2 linked regions of the Tribolium castaneum genome follow. The protein of the gene in region 1 interacts with the protein of each later gene in a biochemical or structural test. Links are inferred from orthologs where the notes say so. Each region holds a gene or a part of one and is shown on either strand. Other genes may lie near its edges.

Region 1 (4,193 bases):
TCTTCTAATATGAGGTTTAAACGAAACATCCTCTATTATTTTACTTTCACGCGAATTATATTTTTCTCTAGTGAATGAATATGTTTTTAGTGTCCTTTTATGTAAATTAAGTCACTTATGTTTCAATTATTTTATTTGGTATTTTGTAAATTGTAAATGGTTAAATCACTTATTTATTTTAAATTTTTATTTGAGCTTTCAAAAATATAAATTTCCAAGTAATGTCTAAGGATTTTAGGCAACAAAACCTAGGAAATACTGAGCAAAGTTTGAATAAGCTTTAGGACCGAATTAAAAGTGAGGAAACAAAAAGGCACTAAATTTAAAGCATGAACAAAAAAATTATGTTTTATTTTCAACCACCTCATAATCGCCAACTGTACTTTTAAGCCACGCTATCCACGTCTCATCAACTATTTTACTGAAAGTAATTTCTTTAAAAATCTCGCTACGACCAGTTTCAATAAACCCGCAACTTTTGAACATGTGGATGCTAACATCATTATCGTCTGAAATTTTTACAACAAATTCTTTTACACCGAGTGTTTCAATTCCGTAGAGAAACATGAGTAGCATGGCTTCAGAACCGCATTTCCTACCTCTAGCCCATTGTTCTGCAATCATAATTTCAGCCTCTGCACAAATCCTGTCGTCAGCGTTTGCAAAAAACAGATTTGTGTCGCCAATCATTGACTCTTAAAACAGTGCATTTATTTCGTCGTGCTTTTTGTCTAGACTAACTAATTTACCAATTTCGTTTCCACAACTGTTGTATTTCTCTTTATCAAGAATTATGAATGTACATTCTGAAAAAATGAACTAGAAAATTGCAAAGTAAAGTGTGCCAATTTACTGTCTTCGTCCATCATCCAGGACTTTTGCATGTCGTATTCCTCCTCTAAAGTAAGGGGCTCCGAAGCCGTCAGCTTTTGGAGTTCTTCAGATTGCATCCAACTGTGATACCTGAAAATTGTTATTAAAATGACGAAACAACGCTATTTTCACCTACTTTGAGACATGTTCGGCTTTGTAAGGCACTAAAATTGTCCGGCAGCCGATAATTTGTGTGTTTTTGTTTATTAACATTTTTAGATTATGTAAGGTTATGTCTTGATGTTTGTAGCCGATTAACTTTGGTACCGAATCACTCTAATCTGTGACCGAATACCGAAAAATTAAATATTAATTTAAATATTTTGACTGTTGTAGATAAATTAAATAATGGTGCTTCATTTTTAAATGGAAAAATATAATGTTTTGGTAGGCTGTTTAAACATATTTCTATAGAATAAGATAATACAGAATTCAGTGATTGACTTTGTATTTCGACCACAGAATATTCGGCTGCAAGTCAATTCGACCGCGCGCCATGTAATGTTTGCAATGATGTTTTGAGTGCATTTTACGAGTTTTACGTGAAAATAAAGTGATATTAAGTTAAAATGGGGCGCCGGTCGATTAATACCACTAAGAGTGGTAAATACATGAATCCCACCGACCAAGCCAGTAAGACGATGTTTGGGTTTGAGGTTAGGTCACTCAAAATTTTGCCAATTTTCAGGAAAAGAAGCCCGGAAACAGGAATTAAAAAAGAATAAAAAGCAGAGACAGATGGTACGGGCCGCTGTTTTGAAAGGCAAAGACCCGCAACAGATTTTAGAAGAAATGGAAAAAATTGATCAGATGGGTACAGTTCTTGTAATGGCTTGAATAACACGGAAGATTGACTGTTTTTGTGTTTTTAGAGTATAATGTTTATCAACCGTCGCCCTTAAATGAGAAAGTTTTAAAAGACAAGAGAAAAAAGTTAAGGGATACGTTAGATCGAGTTCTTAGTATGTATGTAAGTGCTGAAGACAGGGATTTTAATTGGATGGTGTCGAATCGTTGTTTTTTTCAGTATAAAGACGATCCTGATAAGTGGGCCGATTTGAAACGAAGACAAGCCGATTATGAACATAAAAGGAACCAATTAGTCGCATTTTATGAGTCTGTTAAGAGTGCACAGCAAGTCCAAGTTGATGAAATTCCTCTGCCACAACTACCCCAACAACCAAGTAATGCCCCAGCGCAAATCCCGCTACCTTCGGAAAGAAAACAAGAGCACACGATTTATTCCATAGCCACCGCGCTAAAGTTGCAAGCACTGGTATGTATTTTTTAAAGCATTGGCAACTTAATAAAAACAACTTTGTATTAAATGAAAGTTTTACACTTCTATTTTATAACTACTATTTTTTTACTTTATTTTTCTTTTACTGTTTTTATTCCTTCGAGCATTTATGCAAACATTCTTTTTATCTATTCCATCGTGGGCACTATATTTTGTCGATCTGGCGATCTTTTACTTATTTTACTTCTTTCAAATGTATCTGAGCTTCCTAATTCGCTTTTCCTCATGTATCTTCACTTTTTATGCTTATAAAATTTTCTGAGCACTCTGACTCTTATTCGACACTCGATTTTTACGCACTAAAGTTTTCTTAACTCCAAAATAAAGCATTTGCAAAAACATTCAAAATTATTTTTACAACCTACTAAGGTAGCAAAAAAATTGAAAAAATTCGAGAAGTCGTTAAAGTAAAATTGCTATTTTTTTTGTAAAATTAGGGCCAGCCTGTGCGTGAGCCCCCCGGGTGCCCCCCCGGCCCGCCACCAGACATCAACGACGACGGCGAAGTGGAAGACTTCACTCGAACCGACGACGAAAAGGACGAAACAACTGAAGACTCCGACACAGACCCCTCCTCCAAGCCCACCTCCCTCCAACAGAAAATGGTGGCTTTATCTGGCCAAAACGTCGACGACTTCATGAAAGAAATGGAAGTCGTCCAGAAAAAACTCGAAACAAAAGAAGACGAAACCCGGGCTAAAACCCACCCTGAACCACTCATCCCTCCCGGAACGGACCTCCCACAGCCCCCCACTCCACTCCTATTCCCCAATCCTGGACTTCGATTGCCTCCAGGCCCGCCCCCCGGCCGTCCCCTTCTCCCCCCAGCGCCACCACCGGGATTACCACCGCCGCCTAGGATGCCGCTGCGTATCCCACCAGCGCCACCTAGGATGATTCGCTTGCATGGGCCCCCGCCTACGCTCCCAGGGGGCCCCAATTTGCCCTTAGGGACCCCGAATGTGTTGTCGGCAGCCCCCCAACTCATAAATCGGGTCGAGTCGACCAAACAGGGGGCGACGATTTCGGCGAAGCCCCAAATTCGCAACTTGAGTGCTGATGTGACGAGGTTTGTGCCCTCGGCGTTGAGGGTTAAAAGGGAGGATAAAAAACACAAGCCAAATACGAGGACGTTGCACGAGTTGAAGCAGAAAGAGTACCATTTGCATCAAAATACGCACCCAGAGCAACATACGAAAGATGACGCCTATAAGCAGTTTATGGAAGAAATGCAGACGCTATTGTAGTTTCTTTTATTAAAAAAATTACAGTTTCCTGTAATGAAAATTTTTACTTAGACTGGTAAAAAAAATGTAGGTAGTAAGCTGTGACGTGCAATCTGAATTGTCAAATTGACAGTTGTACACCGCAGCCTTGATTTTGGAAAAATCGTGCGTGATCGTTGTTTTCCTCACACTTGCTTGCGTCATGATTTTTATCGCAATTGTTTAATTGCCTAATAAACCGCATTGACGTCACTTGAAATAAAAGCTCAATTCGCGCGGTGTATATCTTATATTTGGCAAATGGATAATACAAACAATGGTACCTATCATTGTAAATATTTACTTATAATTAAAAAATTAAGGAGCAAGAGTCAAACAAACAACTCGAACACTGTGCAAAATAACATAATATTTGGGATTGTAACCACTAAAAATAAAACCGTTCGTTTCCCGTGATATAAGAAAATGAAGCGCCTGATCCTCGCTCCCGTTCGGAATATAAAATAAATATAAACGAAAGAAACACAAATTGATACATTTGAGCCAGTGTAGAAAATAAGTGGCAGTGAAATATATTTGTAACTATTGTGATCGAACTAAAACAATGCTTTTATTTATGTATCAATTGTTTTCCTTTTCTTGTACAGATCATAAAATTAAAGATAACGAGACATTATTGCTTGATAACTGCAGAAATGAAGAAAATTGAACAAAACAATTATTGAGATCATATTTTTTGTAAAGAGAGAGAGCAACAGTAGTACAGCATTGTTCAAAACAATTTATTACATCCA
Region 2 (2,977 bases), on another chromosome or scaffold:
TACCGAACCGAAAATTGGAATTGTGAATTGTTCCTCTTCCGTTATAAAATTAATTTCGTGCTCGTAGTCTTTGAATTCATCAGAAACGAACGTGATTGTTAATTGGTAGGTCATGCCGGGAGCTACTTTGGTCCAGACGACTTTCGAAGGGTGCGAGAGTTTGAAATGAATGGTGGGTTCAAAGCGAATTTGCACGCATCTGGAAGACTAAATCCTGTGTTATTTTAAACTGAGTGTTACGTTTGTACTTGTTCTTTATTTTGGAGGGTTAAGTTAGCACTGTAGCTTTTCCCAAGCTGGAAATTCTGGAAGATTATTAAATCGGGGGTTGCTAGAAAGGGGCTAGATTGGGGCAAAAGCCTGTTTTTGCGGGTTTTTGAGAGACTTTCAAGGCGTTCGTCCAGACTCATTTTCATTTCGTTTAAATATTCAGACGGGAGGAACTACAAGTAGGGAATTAAGGGGGCGGTTTTGTGGCCTTGGGGACGTACTGGAGCCTCCGGTTTGTTTAAAATGAGGCGCAAAACGCGCATCAAGTTGCTACTATGGGGCTCACAAATAAGGTGTGACTCCATTTTTTGAATAAAATATTCTGACGTGTAGGACTTGTCAAATAAAACAATAAAATGGTTTTAGCGATATATTGATAATAAACTAATACACAATTATTTTTTCTTGCTTTTTTCTTTATTATTATTAGCTAAGACTTCTCCAGGAGCGGGGTAAGGTCTTTGCTGGTAGAGGACTCCAGAAGCCGTATTATCAGCCCTTGTTTTATTGCTCTCCAGGCCGTCACTCCACGTCCCTTGGGGGATGTCCGAATAAGCCGCTGGGTCCATGGGGTCTATGATATCCTCCCTTCGTTTCTTCCTCCCGTGTCTGTCCTCCTTCCTGTGCCTCCTGTCATCCCTATCCCGGTCCCTGTCCCTCCGATCCGAATGTTTATGACCCCTGTCATCATCATCCGAGTCATTATCGTCCGATCCCTTATCAGACTTGTCATTTTCCGCGGCTAGAACCCGTTTCTCGCGAAGTTTCGCCGCACTTAAGGTCTTCACTGATTTAGGGTGTCTTGGAGGCAGCCACGAAACCAAGTCATTTTCCATGTTCCAGTAGTAGTAACGCCCCCTGTAACACACATTTTTTGTCATAAATTTCCAACTTTTGGCCCACAAAACCTACAATCCCTTGTCAAAGACCTCAGTCCAACTGTTGGGCAAGGGGTATTTGAAGAGGAGTTTTTGCATGTTTCGCATGTAACGGGGGTCGGGGGTCAGAACACCCTTCCAGTGCGTCTCACACCAGTAGGTGCATTCGTGGAAAATGTTGCTTTTGTTGGGGCAGGTGGACCAACCTTTGAAGTTGCGTTTTTTCGTCTGATCGTCCGATTTTTTGCCTAAAATTTGTTAAATTGGTTGGGGGTAGGGTTTTAATAGTGGCTTACCAGCCAACAGCCCCCTTTTTGCCAAACGGGCCGCTAGAGCCGAAGGGAGAGGCATTTTAGCGATTTGTTTGGTAAATATAGCCTCAATGTTACATAACCTCAACTGTCGAGGGTGACAGCACAGGGCCGGATTCGGATTTTTTATCCTTAGCACAGTGGCGTATTTAGGTCCATTGCTGCCCCGGGCTACAATTTTTTGTTTAAAAAAAAAACAGTATTTGTTACGTCACCACACATGATAACTGGATGTTTTAAGCCCTCCTTTATTTAATATAAAGAAATAAAAAATCACCCTGTATTTATTTAAAAACTTTATGTTTGTCAAAAAACGTAGACAATTTTTATTTTCTTTTTATAATGAAAGTACTACGTTATCGCTGACTTTTTTCAAAGACATGTGTGCTACTCGGGCTTTTTTTACGATTATTCATCGTGAAAAAAAATTAAAAACAATTAAAGACTTAAGAAGTAAAAAAAATACGACGAAAACTAAAAGTTTGATCAACTGATTTACTATTATATTATTTATGATTCTAAAAATTGTTGGTCCGTACTTGGGATCTTTTAGGGAGGGGCTTGGTAAAATAAAAAACAAATGAAACTTTGATCATACTTGTATCTAGTGAACATAAATTACAAAATTAATAGTAGGACTGTCTGTAATGCAACATAATGTACATAATGTCAGCTACAAAATAAAATAGTTTTTAAAAAATAACCCTACTGTTGTTAGGATGGTTTAAATTGTTCTATGTACAGGACAGATTACGCAATAACTTAAACTAGAATGAGGTGCGATGCAAATTTCCTTCCTTACTCTACAACAGAATTGTTTGAGATCTGACATGATGGTGAACCAAGAATATTGCAGAAAGAAATCACAATTTTCCCATTAAAACTGTAATAAAATAAAATCTATGAAAACAAGAAGAGCGCTGATCAACTTCACCGCCCACAAGTCGGTAAATTGACTCTGAAGAAGGCATTAAGCTCGATGAGACTGGCCAAGATAAGAAAAATGGCGTACATCAACAAACATATCCGACCCACTCTCTTATCTAGTCGGAATTTATTTACGGCAAACACCAGGTATAGCAAGAGCAGCGACGACAAAAGGGAGATGGCGCTGTACTCAATTCCCGCCGAATTTATCCCCACCTAAAACCAATCTTGTAAAATTAATAATTAAAAACTGAACACCGACCCAATGTTTTCCTGCAATTGTCGGCATAAACGTGGCTTTGATGAACCAAGGAAGGCCCAAACAAAGCAAAATGTCGAAGGTGTTGGACCCGATCGAGTTGCTTATGCCCATCGAGCCGTGACCTTGAAATGGTAAAATTATCCCGGTGGTAAAACTGGCCTTTACTTACCCTGCTTGGCCACAATTACGCTCGAAACGGCCTCGGGAATGCTGGTTCCGGCGGCCAAAAAAGTGATTCCCATGACGGAATCTGGGATTTTTAGAGTGTCCCCTGTAAAAATAAATCATACTTTAATCCTAGTTTAATTCTTTTTGAATTTTACCGATAA

What was found.
Region 2: the proteins of WW domain-binding protein 11 (region 1) and PQBP1 form a complex in vitro, tested with the Homo sapiens proteins (2 studies listed by BioGRID and IntAct, with this or other methods). The link is inferred for Tribolium castaneum from reciprocal best matches to the Homo sapiens genes WBP11 and PQBP1.

The regions. Positions count from the first base shown.
Region 1 is NC_087394.1:25,616,451-25,620,643, reverse strand, and holds WW domain-binding protein 11, read left to right. Parts: upstream 1-1,335; 5' UTR 1,336-1,442; coding exon 1,443-1,506; intron 1,507-1,561; coding exon 1,562-1,687; intron 1,688-1,745; coding exon 1,746-1,843; intron 1,844-1,900; coding exon 1,901-2,149; intron 2,150-2,610; coding exon 2,611-3,420; 3' UTR 3,421-3,460; downstream 3,461-4,193. Other genes in the region: Mnat9 (N-acetyltransferase 9-like protein), read right to left, coding at 343-695, 750-806, 854-963, 1,010-1,086. UniProt on the Homo sapiens protein: Activates pre-mRNA splicing. May inhibit PP1 phosphatase activity.
Region 2 is NC_087398.1:4,422,906-4,425,882, forward strand, and holds PQBP1 (polyglutamine-binding protein 1), read right to left. Parts: upstream 1,602-2,977; 5' UTR 1,500-1,601; coding exon 1,445-1,499; intron 1,397-1,444; coding exon 1,183-1,396; intron 1,129-1,182; coding exon 666-1,128; 3' UTR 627-665; downstream 1-626. Other genes in the region: hydrocephalus-inducing protein-like, read right to left, coding at 9-207, 249-443, 492-575; zyd (sodium/potassium/calcium exchanger 3), read right to left, coding at 2,390-2,602, 2,649-2,770, 2,818-2,919, 2,972-2,977. UniProt on the Homo sapiens protein: Intrinsically disordered protein that acts as a scaffold, and which is involved in different processes, such as pre-mRNA splicing, transcription regulation, innate immunity and neuron development.